3 linked regions of the Callithrix jacchus genome follow. The protein of the gene in region 1 interacts with the protein of each later gene in a biochemical or structural test. Links are inferred from orthologs where the notes say so. Each region holds a gene or a part of one and is shown in the gene's direction. Other genes may lie near its edges.

The links.
Region 2: of the proteins of UBE2B (region 1) and UBA1, one has a biochemical effect on the other in vitro, tested with the Homo sapiens proteins (10 studies listed by BioGRID, with this or other methods). The link is inferred for Callithrix jacchus from reciprocal best matches to the Homo sapiens genes UBE2B and UBA1.
Region 3: the proteins of UBE2B (region 1) and UBR1 form a complex in vitro, tested with the Homo sapiens proteins (2 studies listed by BioGRID and IntAct, with this or other methods). The link is inferred for Callithrix jacchus from reciprocal best matches to the Homo sapiens genes UBE2B and UBR1.

Annotation. Positions count from the first base shown.
Region 1 is NC_133503.1:32,757,312-32,764,296, forward strand, and holds the start of UBE2B (ubiquitin-conjugating enzyme E2 B), read left to right. Parts: upstream 1-2,550; 5' UTR 2,551-2,670; coding exon 2,671-2,714; intron 2,715-4,803; coding exon 4,804-4,884; intron 4,885-6,799; coding exon 6,800-6,825; intron 6,826-6,985. UniProt on the Homo sapiens protein: E2 ubiquitin-conjugating enzyme that accepts ubiquitin from the ubiquitin-activating enzyme E1 and transfers it to a E3 ubiquitin-protein ligase. In vitro catalyzes 'Lys-11'-, as well as 'Lys-48'- and 'Lys-63'-linked polyubiquitination.
Region 2 is NC_133524.1:48,167,366-48,173,594, forward strand, and holds part of UBA1 (ubiquitin-like modifier-activating enzyme 1), read left to right. Parts: coding exon 1-178; intron 179-3,423; coding exon 3,424-3,488; intron 3,489-3,725; coding exon 3,726-3,921; intron 3,922-4,638; coding exon 4,639-4,713; intron 4,714-4,831; coding exon 4,832-5,021; intron 5,022-6,193; coding exon 6,194-6,229. UniProt on the Homo sapiens protein: Catalyzes the first step in ubiquitin conjugation to mark cellular proteins for degradation through the ubiquitin-proteasome system.
Region 3 is NC_133509.1:30,775,432-30,781,660, reverse strand, and holds part of UBR1 (E3 ubiquitin-protein ligase UBR1), read left to right. Parts: intron 1-2,221; coding exon 2,222-2,283; intron 2,284-2,567; coding exon 2,568-2,678; intron 2,679-3,809; coding exon 3,810-3,875; intron 3,876-4,131; coding exon 4,132-4,233; intron 4,234-6,166; coding exon 6,167-6,229. UniProt on the Homo sapiens protein: E3 ubiquitin-protein ligase which is a component of the N-end rule pathway. Recognizes and binds proteins bearing specific N-terminal residues that are destabilizing according to the N-end rule, leading to their ubiquitination and subsequent degradation.

The DNA of each region.
Region 1 (6,985 bases):
CCTCCAGTTCCCATCTTCAGTATTTCGTTGGTCAGTCAAGAGGATTCTGAGCACATTTGTATCCATTTAGGAAATTCTTCAGCTCAACAGGGAAAGGGAGGGAGGGAGGAAGACCTCACCATTTTCCTAATCTTGCCCATAGTTCCATGGAACCAGAAAAGGTTAACTTTTTCCACTTTCCTTGTACCTCCCTTTCTGCAAACCCTGAATTGTTTCTGCTTTCAGTGACTGCCTTAACTGGTAAATTATAAGGTGTTTTTGTTTTTGTTTTTGTTTTTTTTTGTCAAGGTCTCAGTGGCACGATGATGGTTCACTGCAGCTTCAACTTCCTCGGCTCAAGCGATCCTTCTGCCTCAGCCTCCCAGGTTGCTGGGACTACTGGTGTATGTCACCACGCCTAGCTAATTTTACTTTTTGCAGAGACAGGATCTCCTGTTTTGCACAGGCTGGTCTCAAACTTATGGCCTCCCAAAGTATTAGGATTACAGGCATGAGCTTATGTCTCAGCTCATGCCGAATATTTTTAAGATACAGTTTCTCTTGACCATTTTTCTCCATGTAACCTTACATGTGTATCTTTCTCTTTTGTTATCGGAAGGGTTAGGACTGCAATGGCAGAAAGGCAAAAAAATTAAGAATATTCAGCTTTTGACTTAGAAAACACATTGTGAAATGTTTAACAGGACCTATCAAGAGTTAGGCCTGCCTAACTCGATTACCGAGGCAGTCACTGGAAGCAGAGAGAGAATTCAGGGTTTAAAGAGGAAGATGCAAGGAAAGTCGGAAAAGTTAACTCTGCTTCCATGGAACTATGGGCAAGGTTGAGGCAATGCTAAGGTCTTCATTCCACCTTCCCTTTCCCTGTTGAGCTGAAGGATTCCTCAGTACTCAGAGTCCTTAGTATAACAAAGTCCTGAGGGTAGGAACTGGAAGCAATAGAGGGAAGGACAGTAACTACAGAAAATATTCAAGGTCTGTGGGAGATCAACACTTTTGAACCCCCCTGGTGATGGGGGGGCACTTCTGGCCCATTTGCACTTTACTTGCTAGTGTAGAAAACCTAAAGTTATCTCAGGCTAGATTTATTTTTTTGTTTTGTTTTGTTTTGAGACAGAGTTTTGTTCTTGTTACCCAGGCTGGAGTGCAACGGCGCAGTCTCGGCTCACTGCAGCCTCCACCTCCTGGGTTCAAGCAATTCTGCCTCAGCCTCCCGAGTAGCTGGGACTACAGGCGCACGCCACCATGCCCAGCTAATTTTTGTATTTTTAGTAGAGACGGTGTTTCACCTTGTTGACCAGGATGGTCTCGATCTCTTGACCTCGTGATCCACTCGCCTCAGCCTCCCAAAGTGCTGGGACTATAGGCGTGAGCCATCGCACCGGGCCTTCAGGCTAGATTTATAACCCTCACTCATATCTACAGGAGCTCTCCCCCAGGTATAAATCATATTTGTAGGTTTCTTTGACAACCAACCACTCATTGATAAGCCTGGAAGTCTGCAACCCCACATTCCTTAAAAATATACAATGGTACAACCCCCTATAGGCAAGTCCCGGACTCTGACACATATCTTCAAATGAAAGCAGACCCAGAAAGGAAAAACTGCATAATACACCATCCTTTAATGTTTGCCCAAAATTTTCAATACTAGAAACCCCACTGCAAAGCTGAAAGACTATTTGGTAGCTTCAAGGAAGCATTGCAGGATATTGTTGTGTGGGCCTCAACATTCAATGCTGCCTTAGAAGATCGTGCAATACCCTTCTTGCCCCAATAGCAGAGTTGATAAGCCACTGAACCAACCAGAGGGGAATTATTTTTGGTCCCGGTTTAAAGAAAACAAAACGTGACTCATGCCTGTAATCCCAGCACTTTGAGAGACCCTGCCTCTACAAAATGTAAAATAAATAAATAATTTTAAAACCCTCAAAAAAAAAAACAAAACAAAACAAAACAAAACAAGCTGTTGATTCTGCCATGATCTCTTGGGTAATGATGTCTCTAACCTGTAATAAACAGGAAACAACTAATAAAGGTGTAATCTCCCTTGAACCAGCTTCATAGAGCTGGCTGAAACTCACATAGAGGCGAGGCTTTCACGTGACCCATTCTAAAGGCGTCATAGGGACACGTGGTTCTAGATACTTCTCCCCCTCCCCCTCAGGGGTGGATTGTTGACAAGGCCACGGTCAGTCACGTGATCTTACGTCATCCCACCTCCTTTCCCTGAAATCTCTGGCCCGGATGAGTCCCCCCTCTCTCCACCCCGCCGAGTCTAAACTAATGACGGGGAGGGGGACAGATAGTGTTTCGGTTCCGTGGTCTCTGAATCCACAACCTCTAGTGTAAGCACAGAGTACACAAACTTGCCGATCATTTCAGGAAGCCCAGGCTGAACCCAGCCCCGCAGAAGGGCTCGGAGAACGCGCGCTCCAGCGTCCCGCCCCCTCCTCCCCCAACGCTCTTCCGTGGTAGCGGCGGAGGGCGGAGGGATCCGGAGGGCGGAGGGATCCGGAGGCGGCGGAGGGAGACGTCATTGCAGGGTTGTTTGTCAGTCTCGGCGACGGCAGCAGCGGCAGCTACCCACAGTGATTTGGCCGCCGCGCCGGGGGGTGGGGGGGCTGCGCGGGACTCTTTTCTTTCAGACTGACCGCGGGGCAGCTGGGGAGCATGTCGACCCCGGCCCGGAGAAGGCTCATGCGGGATTTCAAGCGGTAAGGGCCTTCACGTCCGCCTAGATGACGGCCCCTCAAAGCTGCGGGGCTGCAGGGTGGGGATCCCGGACACCTTCCCCTTGTGACCCTCCGAGGGCCGGCTGTGGGCCCAGCAGAACTGGCAGAAGCCGGGTCCTAGCCTCGGCTTCCACTACCTTATCCTTGCCTCTCGTTTTGGCGGCCGAATAAATTTCGATACTCCTCCTACCCCCAAAAAGTAAAACGGTGTCGATCGACTGGCCTAGGGTTCCCTGCTGCCCTTTTCGGCCAGCTGCCCGGCGATCAGATTTCCTCCACCCGCCCCTGCACCCTGCGGCGCCCCCTTCTTGTCCTCTTAAAGTAAGCTCCTGCGGGAGTTTGTTCCTCGCCGGCTGCACCGGTCAGCTTTGTTTCACTGCCCCGCCGTCTTCTCCGAGGAGCCGGGTTGGGGCGAAACCCCCCGCACCACGCCCCGGTCCTTTCCATTTCTACCGTGAGGGTGGGGTCCAGTGCGTGAGGCCCGGAGCTTAACCCATCCCCCGAAACCCGACTCTGTCCCCGCCCGCCTGAAAGGACCTTGGGAACCGACTTAGAGATCTGGGACCTCAGAGCTGGCCACCCCGGCTGCCAGTGCCTTCTGGAACTCAGCTCTGGCTGGTGAAGAAAGCCCTATCTATAGCCTCCCGAGTCTGGAAAAATGCCTTCCCTTAGACGGGCGCTAATTTGATACTCCCTGGGCCTCCTTTGGTAAATAAATAGGGTTTTAACTGTTAGGAGGTATTGGGGTTGTGAGAAAGAGAATGATTAGTCCGTCGTTTGCCTTTAATTGGATACTTAGAGACATAGAAAAACATGTGAGAAAACAGCATTTTGATAACTCTGCACGTTTTTCTTAAAATTTTTTTTGGGGATACCTGCCCTAATTGAGACAAAATATCTGGCCTAAAAACTTAGATTTGTCGCTCAGGAAGTCGCCTCTCAACTCAGCCATTATAAAGCCTATGTGAAGCATTTGGAAGCCATCCATTGTTTTGGGCTTTGGCCAACTTATTTAATTCATTGGTAGCTTCTCTTAGCCATTTAAAGGTAGGCGTCAAGCAGTGCAGTTCTTGTGAGGCTTCTGTTCGTGGCGGCCTAATTTGCTTGAAATTGACTAAAAACCTTTTTTTTTTTTAATGTGGACTAGTTGCAAAGTGTGATGCCCCATGAAAACGACTGCATATGTATTTGTGTGTATAATGTAGCATTTTTAATTGACACTACAGTCTCTGAAAGGAGATGCCCTTTTTTGTGCAAAAGTTATCTTTCTAAAGCTTGAAATTAGTGTATTTGCTTGGCACTTGTGACTAAAATTCAAATAGCAATTTAGTTCACGTCATTGTCTCCCTGGCTCCTTACTGTAATGCTCTGCTTAATTCTGAGTTGAGTATATGACACCTTTTGAAGTTTTCCAAAGGTCTGCAGGTTATAAGAATTTGAGGAATGTTGGAAAGCCTTGTATTGAGTCTCCTGATCTGAGAGGTAGATTTGGTGTTAGTGCAGAGCCTTAAAATAGGGACTGGCAGAAAACCTACTGATTACTTTTTAAAGCCATTGCCGTTTGAAGCAAAAGGGATAAAGTAAATCTGCCTAATACTAGTTTTGTAATTAACGTGTTTTCAGTCATTAGTGTTTACACTGAGGTTTGCTTTTCTTTTTTTAGCCATTTTGCAGAAGTACCTGTGGTTAAGACACACAGTCTTTGGATGGTTAGAGCAGCAAAATCGATGGTTCTGTAAAAATATTATTTGCTTTTGAGTTTTTAAACTTTTTTTTGGTTTAAGAGGACAGTCTGTATGCATCAATTCTTGAAGAGATAATAATCTTGATAATATTGAAAAAGGGATGATTCTCAAGCCTTTTACATTTTTAGATAATTTGGAGAGGTATTTAATAAGTGTATATACCTGGTTAATATATTTAAGTCATAGGGTTCATTTTAGTTCACAGTAACAAGGAAATGGAGTTAGTCCCTGTGTCACAATAGATGGTATAGTGTCTGTAGGTGTTTATGTGGCCTCCTTAGTGGCCTTAATGTTCAACTTTTTAAATTACCACTCCGGATTTCTAGGTTACAAGAGGACCCACCTGTGGGTGTCAGTGGTGCACCATCTGAAAACAACATCATGCAGTGGAATGCAGTTATATTTGGGTGAGTTGAAAGGTTTATAATAGGTGTGTGTTGAATCTTTAAGTGAATATATAACAACTGCCTAGGAAAAGAAACTGGGGTGGATTGAGAGATCTTCAGGACTAAAACTACAAGATAAATTAGAAAAAAATTTTTTTAATTAGAATTTTAGCTCATGCCTAGGAGGATCGCTTGAACCCAGGAGTTCATCACCAGCCTGAGCAATATAATGAAACAGTGAGTCTCTCTCTCCCTGCCCCCCAAAAAAAGGAGTTTTGGCCCAGCCTGGGCAACATAGTGAGACCTCATCTCTACAAAAAGTATAAAACTAGCTGGGCATAGTGGTGCACACCTGTGGTCCCAGCTACTTGGAAGGCTGAGGCAGGAGGATCACTTGAGCCCAGGAATTTGAGTGCCATGATTATGCCACTGCACTCCAGCCTGGGCAGCAGAACCAAGACCCTTATGTTTCAAAAAAAAAAGGAAAAAAATTTCAGCAGTTATATACAATTTATTTGCTCTTTTATTATAGGGTTTTATAATCACTTCAGGTTTTACTTTAAAATACTATTCAAAACTATATGGAATGGAATAATAAAGGAGAAAATATAAATTATTTTGTATAAAATATACCATGCAAATGCTTTAATTCTGTTGGAGCTATTACAAGATTTGGAACCAAAAATATTAAGAACTTCTACTGTGGCAAGTATTTAAGTGAAAAGGATTCACAGCCCGGTGTGAAGTAGCAGAATGCAGCCATTTGAGGAGTTGTAAATTTTACGTACTATATATGTTGCATATATGCTTTTTAATTTAAATTTTCCTTATGCTTTTTCTTTGGTTTTTCTAGACTTGATCTGTTTTTTCTTTCATTCCTTTGAAACTCGAGATATGCATTAAAAAGTAAAAGGAATATGTTGATAAACAGAATTCTGATACTCCAGTTCAGCTACAAGAGTCTACATTTAAAGACTAGTGGAAAATGAGTGAGGTTCACCCTCATAAAGCACTTCTGTTATATTCAGGGTATTATCTGGCTACTTTGAGATCCTGAATATGCCTTGCAAGTAATAATTAAACCTTGTGCTGCTGCTTAGGAAGTATGAAATTGGGATGTGGTGGCAAGGATCTGAACAAGAGAATCTGGCTTTTTGGTGACAGCAGCTATGCTTAGCCTATTTGAACAAACGTTATGCATCTGTTGGAAAGCAGGACACTTGGGTTTAGCATCATAACTAAAGACTATTGCTTTCCATCTTATTGCTGTTAAATGAAAAAGATGACTTTTTCTCTTAAGAATATACATATGTGGCCAGGCATGGTGGCTCACGCCTGAAATCCCAGCACTTTGGGAGGCTGAGGCGTGTGGATCACCTGAGGTCAGAGTTCAAGACCAGACTGACCAACATACTGAAACCCTGTCTCTACTAAAAATACAAAAATTAACCAGGTGTGGTGGCACATGCCTATAATTCCAGCTACTTGGGAGGCTGAGGCAGGAGAATCCCTTGAACCCAGGACAAGTAGGTTGCAGTGAGCCGAGATCACGCCATTGCACTCCAGCCTGGGCAACAAGAGTGAAACTCCCTCTCAGAAAAAAACAAAAAATAACAACAAACAAAAAATATACATATGTACAAAATGACTGGTCAGTATTAATGAACTGGAAGTTTTTGGTGCTAAAATTATGGGCAAGTTTTTTTGTTTGGTTTGGTAAAACCACCCTAAAAAGAAAGCTTAGAATGAAAGTTGTATTTTATGCCTGTGTTTATGAAAATCCAGGGCTAAGGTGTTATTAAGCTGTATCTTAAAACTCCACAAATCATCCGAATGGGTCCCTCTTTTTCTGTTGGAGTTTATCATTTCCACTCTTGAAAGTCAGTAAAAAGCAGAATGAGAAACTTCTTTTAATCAGAAATCTTCTTGTTTTCAGACCAGAAGGGACACCCTTTGAAGATGGTAAGTCATACTCATTATGTTTTCTGTAGTTTTATGAGGTTGCTTTTTAGTAGAAAATTGTAACAGCAACATATCTACTTGAAGCCATTTTCTATGGTTAATAGGCCAAGTTAAAATTTAGTAAAGCTGTGGAGAATTTATACTTTATAAGGGACTTTTT
Region 2 (6,229 bases), on another chromosome or scaffold:
CTGCGTTTACTACCGGAAGCCACTGCTAGAGTCAGGTACACTGGGCACCAAGGGCAACGTGCAGGTGGTGATCCCCTTCCTGACAGAGTCGTACAGCTCCAGCCAGGACCCACCTGAGAAGTCCATCCCCATCTGTACCCTGAAGAACTTCCCTAATGCCATCGAGCACACCCTGCAGGTGATCAGCTGTGGGGGAAGGGAAAGAAGCCAGGCATCTGGCCGGGCCGCTGCCTCTTGGCCCCCAGGCCCTTGCCTTGCCTTGCCTTCAGATGTTGCATGCCTAAGTGTAAAATGTGCCTTTTTTCCAAGCCTCCCTCCTTTACTTCCTACAAGGCAGCCTAGGTTTCTAGAATGACTCATTACTTTTTCACTTTTATTTCAAAATTTTTTTCAGCATACAGAAAAAAATTTTTGTTGAAATTTTTCAAAAATTTTTCAACAAATATTAAGAATATTATGAATACTCAAATACCATTCCTCACCTACATTTAACAATGCTTAATGTTTTGCCACATTTCCTTCTTAGATTTATATAGATTTTTCTTCATGCTTAAATGTGTCACAGACATCATAATCCTTTACTCCCTACTATTTCAGTGCCTCTGCCAAGTGAGGAAATGTTCCTATAGAACAGGGTTGGAGCTTCAGCACTACTGACATTTGGGGCTGGATATTTCTTTGTCATGGCGGGGGGGGGTGCCTTGTGCACTATAAGATGTTTCTTGGCATTCCTGACTTCTGCCCACTAGATGCCAATAGCACTCCCCCTCCATCATGACATCTGAAAATGTCTCCAGATATTGCCAGATGTCCCCAGAGGTGCCACATCACTCCCAGTTGAGAACTACTTCTGTCTAACCAAAACATCATCTTCATGCTGAACAAAATTAGCAATAATTTCTTACTATCTCTTCCAGTTATCTATTTGTCTCTAATACTCAGTCCATATTCAGGTTTTCCCCAGCTGTTGCTCAAAATGAGTTTAATAGCTGGTTTGTCAGGATGATTCTGTGTGTATGGTATATGTACCTGCAGAACAGTGCACATAACTAACATCTAGCTCGAGGGTATCCAATCATTTGGCTTCCCTGGGCCACACTGGAAGAATTGTCTCAGGCCACACATAAAATATACTAACACTAACGATAGCTGATGAGCTGAAAAAAACAAAAGAAAAAAGGTCCACGCATAAATCTCATAGTGTTTTTAAGAAAGTTTATAGATTTGTTTTGGGCACCATTCAAAGCCGTCTTGGGCCGCATATGGGCCACAGATGAGACGTTTGATCTAGCTGAAGTTTTACAAAGTGAATACACAGGTGACTAGCACCTGGGCCAAGAAACAGACCTAGGGATTACGATTGTGCTATCAGAATAATTCTTAGTACAGTGTTTGAGGCCAAACCATTTAGAATAGTAGGAGTATGAGGGTGGGAACAAAACAGGGAAGAGGAAAAAAAAACCAGCTCCATCTGTCACTTTCTCTTCTGACCCTGTGGTTCCGAGTGGATATGTTTGTATTTTTGCACCCACCACAGTCTTACTAGGTCATGTGTAACCTTGAACTTAACCTCTCTGTGCCTCAGATTCCTGCTCTGTAAAATGGGAATGACAGTAGTATCTACCTGACAGGGCTATTGTGAACCACTTGGCATTTACTGTGTGCCTGGCACTGTTTTAAACAAGCTTTAAATATATACGTATTTGCACATTTCTTCCTAGCAACCCCATGAAGTAGGTATTACTGTTGTAACATCTGTTATAGAGATGAGGCATGGAGGTAAAGATGTTACCCTGCGTGCCTGAAGTCACAAGACTAGGTAATATGCGCACAGCTGAAATCTAAACCTGAATTTCTAACATTTGTACCCTCCAAACCACCACACTAATGACTGCAAACTGTCTTAGGAATTCTCAGAGGCCAGAAGCTCTGTCTTGTTTGCTATTTTATTTTTGGAGACAGGATCTCACTCTGTCACTCAGGTTAGAGTGCGTTGGCACAATTCATAGCTCACTGCAACCTTGAACTCCTGGGAAGTGTGTGTGTGTGTTCCTGTTATATTGACCAGACAGGTTGCAAACTCCTGGGCTCAAGTGATCCACCTGCCTCAGCTTCAAAAAGTGCTGGGATTACATGTGTGAGCCGCTGTGTCCGGCCTCTGTCTTGTTTTCTGCCGAGTCCTCGGGGCCTGGATAGGGATCATTTGTGGTTTGGTCTGAGTTTTTTCTTTTTCTTTTTTAAAAATTATGGTAAGATATACTTAACTGAAGTTTTTCTTTTTTATGAAGGCATAACATATCTAGAATGAGGTACACAGATCTTAATATATTTTTAGGCGTGGCTCACACCTCTAATCTCAGCATTCAGGAGACCAAGATGTGAGGATTGCTTGAGGCCAGGAGTTCAAGACCAGTCTGGGCAATATAGCACGGCCCTGTCTCTACAATAAATTTTTAAAAATTAGCCAGGTGTGGTGGCATGTGCCTGTGGTCCCAGCTACTCAGGAGGCTGAGGTGGGAGGATTGTTTAAGCCTGGGAGGTCAAGGCTACTGTGAGCCATGATTGTGCTGCTGCATTCCAGCTTGGGTGACAGAACGAGACTTTGTCTCAAACAAAACAGTTTTCCACATGTGCATAACACTATTGTAACCGCTGCGCAGATAAAGTTCATTGGTTTTTCTTTTTCTTTTTTTTTTTTGAGGTGGAGTCTCGCTTTGTTGCCCAGGGTGGAGTGCAGTAGCACAGTCTCACTGCAAATTCCACCCCTTGGGTTCAAGCAATTCTGCCTCAGCCTCCCAAGTAGCTGGGATTACAGGCAATGTGCCACCACGGCTGGCTAATTTTTGTATTTTTAGTAGAAACAGGGTTTCACCATGTTGGCCAGGCTGGTCTTGGACTCCTGACCTCAAATGATCTGCCCACCTCAGCCTCCCAAAGTGCTGGGATTACAGGCCTGAGCCACCAGGCCTGGCCTTTTTCTTTTGAGACGGAGTTTTGCTCTGTTGCCCAGGCTAGAGTGCAGTAGTGTGATCTCAGCTCACTGCAACCTCCGCCTCCCAGGTTCAAGCAATTCTCCTGCATCAGCCTCCCGAGTAGCTGAGATTACAGGCGTCTGCCATCATACCCAGCTAAGTTTTGTATTTTTAGTAGAGGCAGGGTTTCACCATGTTGGTCAGGCTGGTCTCGAATTCATGACCTCAGATGAACCACCGCCTTAGCTTCCTAAAGTGCTAGGATTGCAGGCGTGAGCCACTGCGCCCGGCCTGGTTTTTCGATTAAGGTGGGGGAGTGGGGAAGGCTGGGGAGCCTTGCAGAACAGCTGTGTGCCGCCTCCTTGCTTTATTCACTAATGATCTTTCTAATGTCTGCGGAAACCCATTTTGTCAACTGTGGCCACATGTAATCCGTTTGCTGTGTCTGCAGTGGGCTCGGGATGAGTTTGAAGGCCTCTTCAAGCAGCCAGCAGAAAACGTCAACCAGTACCTCACGTGAGTAACTTGAGTGCCCTCTTGCCCTGTCCCTCCACCAGCCAGGGCATCCCGCCTGCTCTCCTCATCACAGTAACACACTTGGCACCAGGTATACTTTTCACATGAATGAGTGGCTGCTTGGGCCTCATGCTGTTAGGGGTCGGGACTAGTTTTCCACGGAGAAAGTAAGATTGCTCTGAAGCCCATTCCTGAGGCTGAGGTATAATCCTGTCCTCTCTCTTCAATTCCTGATAGAGACCCCAAGTTTGTGGAGCGAACACTGCGGCTGGCAGGCACCCAGCCCTTGGAGGTGCTGGAGGCTGTGCAGCGCAGCCTGGTGCTGCAGCGACCACAGACCTGGGCTGACTGCGTGACCTGGGCCTGCCACCACTGGCACACCCAGTACTCAAACAACATCCGGCAGCTGCTGCACAACTTCCCTCCTGACCAGGTAATGCCCATTTGTTGGGTGCATTTGGCAGAATGTGTTTCCCTGAAATGGGAGCCTGCTGTGGGCTCTCAGTGTGGGTCCTCAGTCCAGCTGTAGCAGGTGCCCTGAGGCATGGGGATCTGAGAAGAGTGATTGAGCCTGACCTGCTTTTTTCCCACCCTAGTTCCTTTGAGCAAGAGGCTTGGTCGCTGTTTCCCTTGACTGTGGTATGGACTGAGTCATACCTAATTCCCCGTCAGGGCTGTAGGGAGTGTGGGGGAGAAATTCTGGGGTTAAGAGCACAGGAATCAATGTGGGTTCAAATCCAGACTCGAACTTAGGCAAATCACGTAACTTCTCTCTGTACCTCAGTTTCCTCATCTGTGAAGTAGAAATAATAGTAATCTACCTCATGGGGGGTTTGGGGAGGATTAACTGGTATTTATTAATATGAAGTTAGTACAATGCCCTGTAATCCATGAGAATTTGTTAAATGATAGGCTATCTAGCACAAAATGCCTTCCCAGGGATTGGTAATTGTTCTCTCAGCCTGATCTCTGGTTCAACCTTGTGGGACCCTACAGTTGGGGTCATTTGTGGTTGACTCCAGCCCCCATCGAGTACCCAACTCAAGATAGTGAGTTAGGGGCACCTCTGGGGCCTACGTGAAGCGTCAAGGTTGTCAGAGAGGCCTTCACTGTCAGGTCCTGTTCTCAAAAATCTCTTCATCCCTTATAGCTCACCAGCTCGGGAGCCCCGTTCTGGTCTGGGCCCAAACGCTGTCCACACCCGCTCACCTTTGATGTCAACAACGTAAGTCTCCTCTCTGGGGTCTCCTGGGGTCAGGTGGAGGGTGAGTAGGTGGGAAGGAGGTGGCGGTTCCCCACTCAAGGACTATGTGCTCACCTTTTCCTGCCCTGCCTTCTCCTAGCCCCTGCATCTGGACTATGTGATGGCTGCTGCCAACCTGTTTGCCCAGACCTATGGGCTGACAGGCTCTCAGGACCGAGCTGCTGTGGCCACACTCCTGCAGTCTGTGCAGGTCCCTGAATTCACCCCCAAATCTGGCGTCAAGATCCACGTTTCTGACCAGGAGCTGCAGAGCGCCAATGCCTCTGTTGGTGAGGGTGTTTGGCCAGTTGGCCAGGAGTCACCTCCACATGTCCCCTGCCTAGTCCAGCGTCCCCACCAGTCCTGTACCCCTGGCTCTGCTCTGCTCTGGGACCCCAGGCCTGAGGTTTACCCATACCTTCGTTTGAGCCTCCCTTTAACATGAAGAGGGTCGGTTGGGGCAGATTATTTCCCTCCTTCCTTCCCACTCTCTGCACTCAGGAGAACTTGCTGTTTTATTCTTGCCCTGTGTATTTCCCTGAGTTTTGTTTTTTCTTCTGTTTCTTAATCTGTTCATCTAGGAGGTATGATCTCCACCAGCGGTCTCTCTCCCTTGATACCTTCCTGCCTTGTCTCCTTCCAGATCCGCCCTGATCTATACATCTACCTCCATGTTTCTCTGTATGCATCTTCACCCTCCATAGTTTGGGGCTGCAGTTTACTGACACCCTCCTCCCAGCCCTCGTCTATACATATTTTTCCATTGCCCTTCCCTTCTGTATATAATGCTTCTGTAGCTCTGTAACGCCCCTACATTTACCTTCCTTATATCTCCCCTGTCTTCCTCTCCATAAATTTCCCATTTCCCTTTCCATGGTCCCTATCTTCCTTCTGAAATATCTGCTTCATGTTCCTCTGTGTATGTCTTTCAATCTTTCCTTCCATATCTCTCATCGCCTTCATATATTTCCTCCATTTTTCTCCTCCCACCTGTCTTGCCCTCTGTATATACCCCTACTCTCCCCCTTTTGTATCTTCTCCATCTCCCCCCATATCTCTCCTCGGTATCTATATCTGTACATTTCCCCCAATTTCCCCTCCATATATCTTTTGTACTCCCCTTTTCTTCCCTGTATGTTCCATCTTGCTCTACATTCTTCCCAAGATCTTTACGTCTTCCATCTTGATTTGCCCATCTCCACTTTATTCCAACATGTTCATTTCCGTTCCTTAGTGTCTTTAGAGGTTGCTCTTGATAGTCTCAGCTCTTAGTCTCTGTTTTTCAGGTCTGTACTCTGTTCTCCTCTACCTCTCCTCCTTGTCCCTTTTCTCTCCCAGGATGTCTCTCCTTTCCAAATCCTTTTTCTACCCGAATACCTTTTGCCCCACCCTGGGCTCCCATTTCCACCTCAGACCTTAGCTTGGGATCTAAAGGGCTGACAGTGTTCCTCTCTTCATGCAGATGACAGCCGTCTAGAGGAGCTCAAAGCCACTCTGC
Region 3 (6,229 bases), on another chromosome or scaffold:
TATATTTTTAACAATGAGAAAATATACATAACATAAAACTTATGTTAGCCATTTTTAAGTGTACAGTTCAGTGGCACTAAGTATATTTACATTATTCTTCAACTATCACCATCATCCTTCTCCAAAAGGTTTTTATATTCTTAAAATGAAACTTCTAAAACTGAAATAGAATAATAATACTATTATGCAATACCTCCCCATTGCCCCTTCCCCACACCCACTAGCAACTACCACTCTCCATGTCTATGAATTTGACTACTCTTGGTACCTATTATAAATGGACTTATACAGTATTTATCCTTTTGCGACTGGCTTATTTCACCTAACATAATGTCCTCAGGTTTATGTTGTAGCATGTGCCAGAATTTCCTTTTTTTAAAAGGCTGAATAATATTCCATTGTATGGATATACCACATTTTGTTCATCCATTTATCCATTGATGGACACTTGGGTTGTACTACCTTTTGGCTGTTGTGAATAATGCTGTTATGAACATGGGTGTAGAAGTATCTGTTCAGGTCCTTGTTTTCATTTTTTTGGGAATATACCCAAATATGGGATTGCTGGATTATTTGGGAATTCTATTTTTAGTTTTTTGAGGAACCATCATATTGTTTTCCTTAGTGGCTATACCATTTTACATTCCCACCAGCATGCACTAGGATTCCAGTTTATCTACATCCTTGCCAACACTTGCTATTTTTTCTTCCAACCCCTCCCCATTAATAACCATTCTAATGGATTTGAAGTGGTATCTCAGGTGCTTTTGATTCACATGCTCCTAGTGATTAGTGATTTTGATCAGCTTTTCACATGTTTATTGTCCATTTGTATATCTTTGGAGAACTATCTATTCAAGTGTTCTGCCCATCTAATTCTAAATAATAACTGTTTACAGACATGTGATTTACAAATATTTTCTCCCATTCTGGGGGTTGCCTTTTTACCCTGTTGATGATGGTATCCTTTGATACACAGGTTTGTTTGTTTGTTTTGAGACGGTGTTTCACTCTTGCTGCCCAGGCTGGAGTGCAGTGGCGCATTCTTGGCTTACCGCAACATCCACCTCCTGGGTTCAAGCAATTCTCCTGTCTCAGCCTCCCAAGTAGCTGGGATTACAGACATGTGCAGCCACATCCGGCTAATTTTTTGTATTTTTAGTAGAGACAGGGTTTCACCATGTTGGCCAGGATGGTCTCGATCTCTTGACCTTGTGATCCAGGGATTACAAGTGTGAGCACCGCACCCGGCCTCACAGGTGTTTTTGTTGTAGTCCAGTTTATCTATTTTTTTCTTTTGTTGCCTGTGTTTTTGGTGTCATGTCCAAAACCTTATTGTTAAATCTAATGTTTTGAAGACTTTCCCTTCGTTTTCTTCTCTGAGTTTTATTTTTTAGTTTTAGCACCTATATTTAAACCTGTGTTTAAGGTCTTTGATTCATTTTGAGTTAATGTTTATGTATGGTATAATTGACATCATGGGATTTTATGTTGCTTTTATTTTTATTAAAAAATACTTAGATTAATTTTCATTTCTTTTTTTCTCCCCCCACCCGCCTTTGCTTAAAGAATTGTTTTAACTGGTAATTTTCATTTCTTTTGATGCTTGGCTAAAAGCAGTAAACATATCTTCAGAGACAGTATGTTATTTTTATATAAGGTATGAGCACACCTTAAACAGTGTAGAATTTTAAATATGTTAGTAATATTGTGTTTCAAAATTAGAAATCAACAATCTGCATTCTAGAGTATTATTTCTAAACTCAGTAAATATACTTTAAGTCACACAAGTTTTGTTTGTTTTTTTTCTTTAAAGACGGAGTCTCACCCTGTCGCCTGGGCTGGAGCACAGTGGCATGATCTTGACTCACTGCAACCTCCGCCTCCCGGGTTCAAGCAATTCTCCTGCTTCAGCCTCCCAAGTAGCTGGGATTACAGGCACCCACCATCACGCCTGGCTGATTTTTGTATTTTTGTAGAAAGCAGGTTTCACCATGTTGGCCAGGCTAGTCGTTGAACTCCTGACCTCAGGTGACTGCCTGCCTCGGCCTCCCAGAGTGCTGGGAGTACAGGCGTGAGCCACTGTGCTCGGCCAAATGACACAAATTTCTAAACCACCGTGCCTGCCAAATTACACAAATTTTTAAACTTGATGAGTTAACCAGTTAACAAATTGGGTTTGTTTTCTCATTTTTCTCTCTCTTTTTTTTTTTAATTTTAGGTCTTCATGTACGTTTAAGCAGGCTGGGTGCTGTTTCAAGACTGCATGAATTTGTGTCTTTTGTAAGTGATTCTACTAAGTATTGATTTGCTTATGTTCTATTTCTGAATACCTCTTGGTTGATGGACAAGAAGGAAAATAATATTTGGAAACCCACCTGAATAATTCCTATTTAGTAATTTTACATCTTCATATAGTATATTGTAATCTGAATCATGGGACTTAGACATCTAGTTCTAGCTCTTCCGTTTTACGCATGAGAAAACTGAAAAATATGTAGTGCCCTAACTTGGAGACACATCCAAGCTCTGTGAGAAATGATAAAATTGGCCTCACTCTATTTCAGGAGGACTTTCAAGTAGAGGTATTAGTGGAATATCCTTTACGTTGTCTGGTGTTGGTTGCCCAGGTTGTTGCTGAGATGTGGCGAAGAAATGGGCTGTCTCTTATTAGCCAGGTATGTCAAAACCTATTATTCATATTTATGAATGTGTTCATTTTCTAGTTTTTTTTCTCTTACATAATTTTACCCTATGTCCCTGGATTTTACTGAGGATTTGCCACTATTCTCTTATATAAGCTCTTAGAAATGAAAGTTCTAGGAACTATATAGACATTTCTCCTATCCTATTTACTGTGTATTCCATCTGAATTATAAGAAACTAGGGTGCTTATATGATAAGTTAGGTGAGAGTCAATAGTACCACCAGGGACCTCCCTGTTACATAGTTCTTTTCTGAGAATTACCTTACTTGGAGGCCTTTAGTCTTCCCACTATCTGTCTTAATTGAAGGCCACCTTGTAATTTTGTCTTCTATTTTAGAGTAAATATGGAGTAGTGCTTTTCTTTTTTTCTTTTTTTGAGACCGAGTCTCCCTCTATCGTCCAGGCTGTGGAGTGCAGTGGCGCTATCTCAGCTCACTGCCGTCTGTACCTCCCGGGTTCAAGTGATTCTTGTGCCGCAGCCTCCCGAGTGGCTGGGACTACATGCATGCGCCACCATGCCCAGCTAATTTTTGTAATTTTAGTGGAGACCAGGTTTCACCAGGTTGGCCAGGCTGGTCCTGAACTTCTGACCTAAGGTGATCCGCCTCTGCCTCCCTCCCAAAGTGCTGGGATTACAGGTGTGAGCCACTGCACCTGGCCTTGCTTTTCTTAAAAGGTGGGGAAATAGGTCTTGAAAAGTTACCATTTAGAAGAAAAATGGTATTACATGTTTACCTATGTAACAAACCTATATAGCTTGCATGTGTATCCCGGAACTTAAAATTAAAAACAAAGAAAAAATGATATTATTATTGATTGGTTTACTTTTATTGAAGTAGGTATTTTAAACTTAGGGAAAATAAAAATTCTTTTTTTATACACAAGAGTAATAACTAATATAGAACATTTTTAACTCTGAAGTGATTTCATGCCATATTTCTTCACTTCATCCTCACAAGTCCCTTTAAATGATTCATTGATATACAACTTATTTTTTGCCACTAAGGAGTTTCTAGCTTAGAAAAAGTTTTAAGGATAGGTTTACTTGAGAAATTTGCTTGAAATAATTCTTTTAGCCTTTATTCCACCTATTATTTTATAGGTGTTTTATTACCAAGACGTTAAGTGCAGAGAAGAAATGTACGATAAAGATATCATCATGCTTCAGGTACCTGTTTAAATTGTTTCTGATATTTGTGTCTTAATCTTCCTTTTTAAATTCTTTGTAATAAGAGAAGATAATGTAATTATTTTTAACTTAAAATATTCTCACGATTAAACTGAATATGACATCATAGAAATAGAAGGGACTATTCTATTTCATTATCTTCTACAAACTTTATAATTTTCTGACCGTCCTATAAGAGACAAAATGTTTCTCCATACAATACACAAGAAATATAATGCTGGGTTTTTTTTCACAGATTGGTGCATCTCTAATGGATCCCAATAAGTTCTTGTTACTGGTACTTCAGAGGTATGAACTTGCCGAGGCTTTTAACAAGACTGTATCTACAAAAGACCAGGTACAGAACCTATAAATTAAGTGAATTAATTTTAAAGGAAATATTGTTACTTTTTGAGTCATATTTTATTTCAGTCATATTTAGTCATATTTTAAAAGTTATTTCTTAATGCATACCTCCTGAAATGACATGGATATATATAGCACACATAGGTACACACGTATAATCTTTTTAATCTAGAAAAATTAGAATATGTAGGTTAACAAAGAAAAAAATCACATGAAAAACACTGCTTCCTGGAAATGATCACTTTTAAGGTTTTGGTGTCTTGCTTGTTTTTAAAACAAAAAGTGTATCATTCTGTATGTGTTGTTTTGTAATCTGCTTCTTATGCTTAACATATTGTCAAAGGTTTTTCATCTTGTCATGAAATAAATATGCAATTATATCATCATTTTAAATAATTATATAGGATTACACTATATGATGCATTATACTTTAAAGTCTGTTACTGAAGAGGTCTTTCTAGTTGGTTGCCCTTTTATTTATTTACTTATTTATTTTTGAGATGTAGTCTTGCTCTGTTGCCCAGGCTGGAGTGCAGTGGTGTGATCTTGGCTCACCACAGCCTCTGCCTCCAGGGTTCAAGTGATTCTCCTGCCTCAGCCTCTGAGTAGCTGAGACTAGCCACCATGCTCTGCTAATTTTTGTATTTTTAGTGGAGACAAGATTTCATTATGTTGGCCAGGTTGATTTTATTTTGTTTATTTATTTATTTTTGAGAAGTTGGTTGTTCTTATAAACAGTTGTAGCTCATTATTTAAACACTTGTCTAACTATTTTGTTAAGATACATTTTTATAAGTGGATTTGTTGGATAAAACAACATGCTTTTTCTTAAGGCTCTTAATACATATTGTCAAATTGCTGTCAGAAATTCCTATTTAAGCTCTCTCTTGCAATATATACATCTATAATGACATTGGTATTTCAATCTTTGTTGTCTCAGAGGTAATATACAAATTTTATTTTATTTATTATTTGTTTCTGAGACAGAGTCTCACTCTGTTGCCCAGGCTGGAGTGCAGCAGTACGATTTTGACTCATTGCAACCTCCATCTCCCATTTAAGTGATTCTTCTCAGCTTCCTGAGTAGCTGGGACTACAGGCATGAGCCACCAAGCCCAGCTACTTTTTTGTATTTTTAGTAGAGTTGAGGTTTCACCATGTTGGCCACGGTGGTCTCAAACTCCCGAGCTCAAGTGATGTGCGTGCCCCGGCCTCCCAAAGTGCTAGGATTATAGGTATAAACCACTGTGCCCGCCTACATCTTTATTGTTTTAATATTTGAATTAGCCTATAAAGTAGGCCTTAACTACTTTGAATTCATGAAATCTCATTATTCTATTCTTTCAAATGAGAAGTTACTCCTGCTGGTAAAGTTTCTTTGGAAAAATAATAAATATATAAAAAAAACTTTTTAAATGAAAAAATAGAAGTTACTTGCAAAGGGCTAACATGAATAGGATGTAAAATGCAGAGCTAATTTTTAGTTGTGTTTTATACTTAGTGAAAATCAATATCTGATTTAATAGTGTTTAAATGAGGGGTGTATTAGAGAAGGATACTCTCAGCATAACTGTTGAATATGTATTTGTAGGCACTTTCTCACTACCCCAGATAAGAAGGCAGCCAATAATAGAGGATGAATTAAAGATTAGCATTAGTGTGCTGACGGGTGACTATGCAGGGGATAATGAGAATGAAAACAATGACAGTATTTAACAATTGTATGCCAGGTATTGTTGAATTTGATGTCAAAAAAGGGAACTCTTCACCTTGTAACTATTTGTGCTGTGCACATACACGTACGCAAATACTGTACTGGATGAAAAAATACTGAACCGGATGGACCATGAGTCTGATCCAGAAATGCATGTTTTATGGAGATTTTTGGTTCTTCCATACTAATTTATTCTTTTTTGATTCTGTAGGATTTGATTAAACAATATAATACATTAATAGAAGAAATGCTTCAGGTCCTCATCTATATTGTG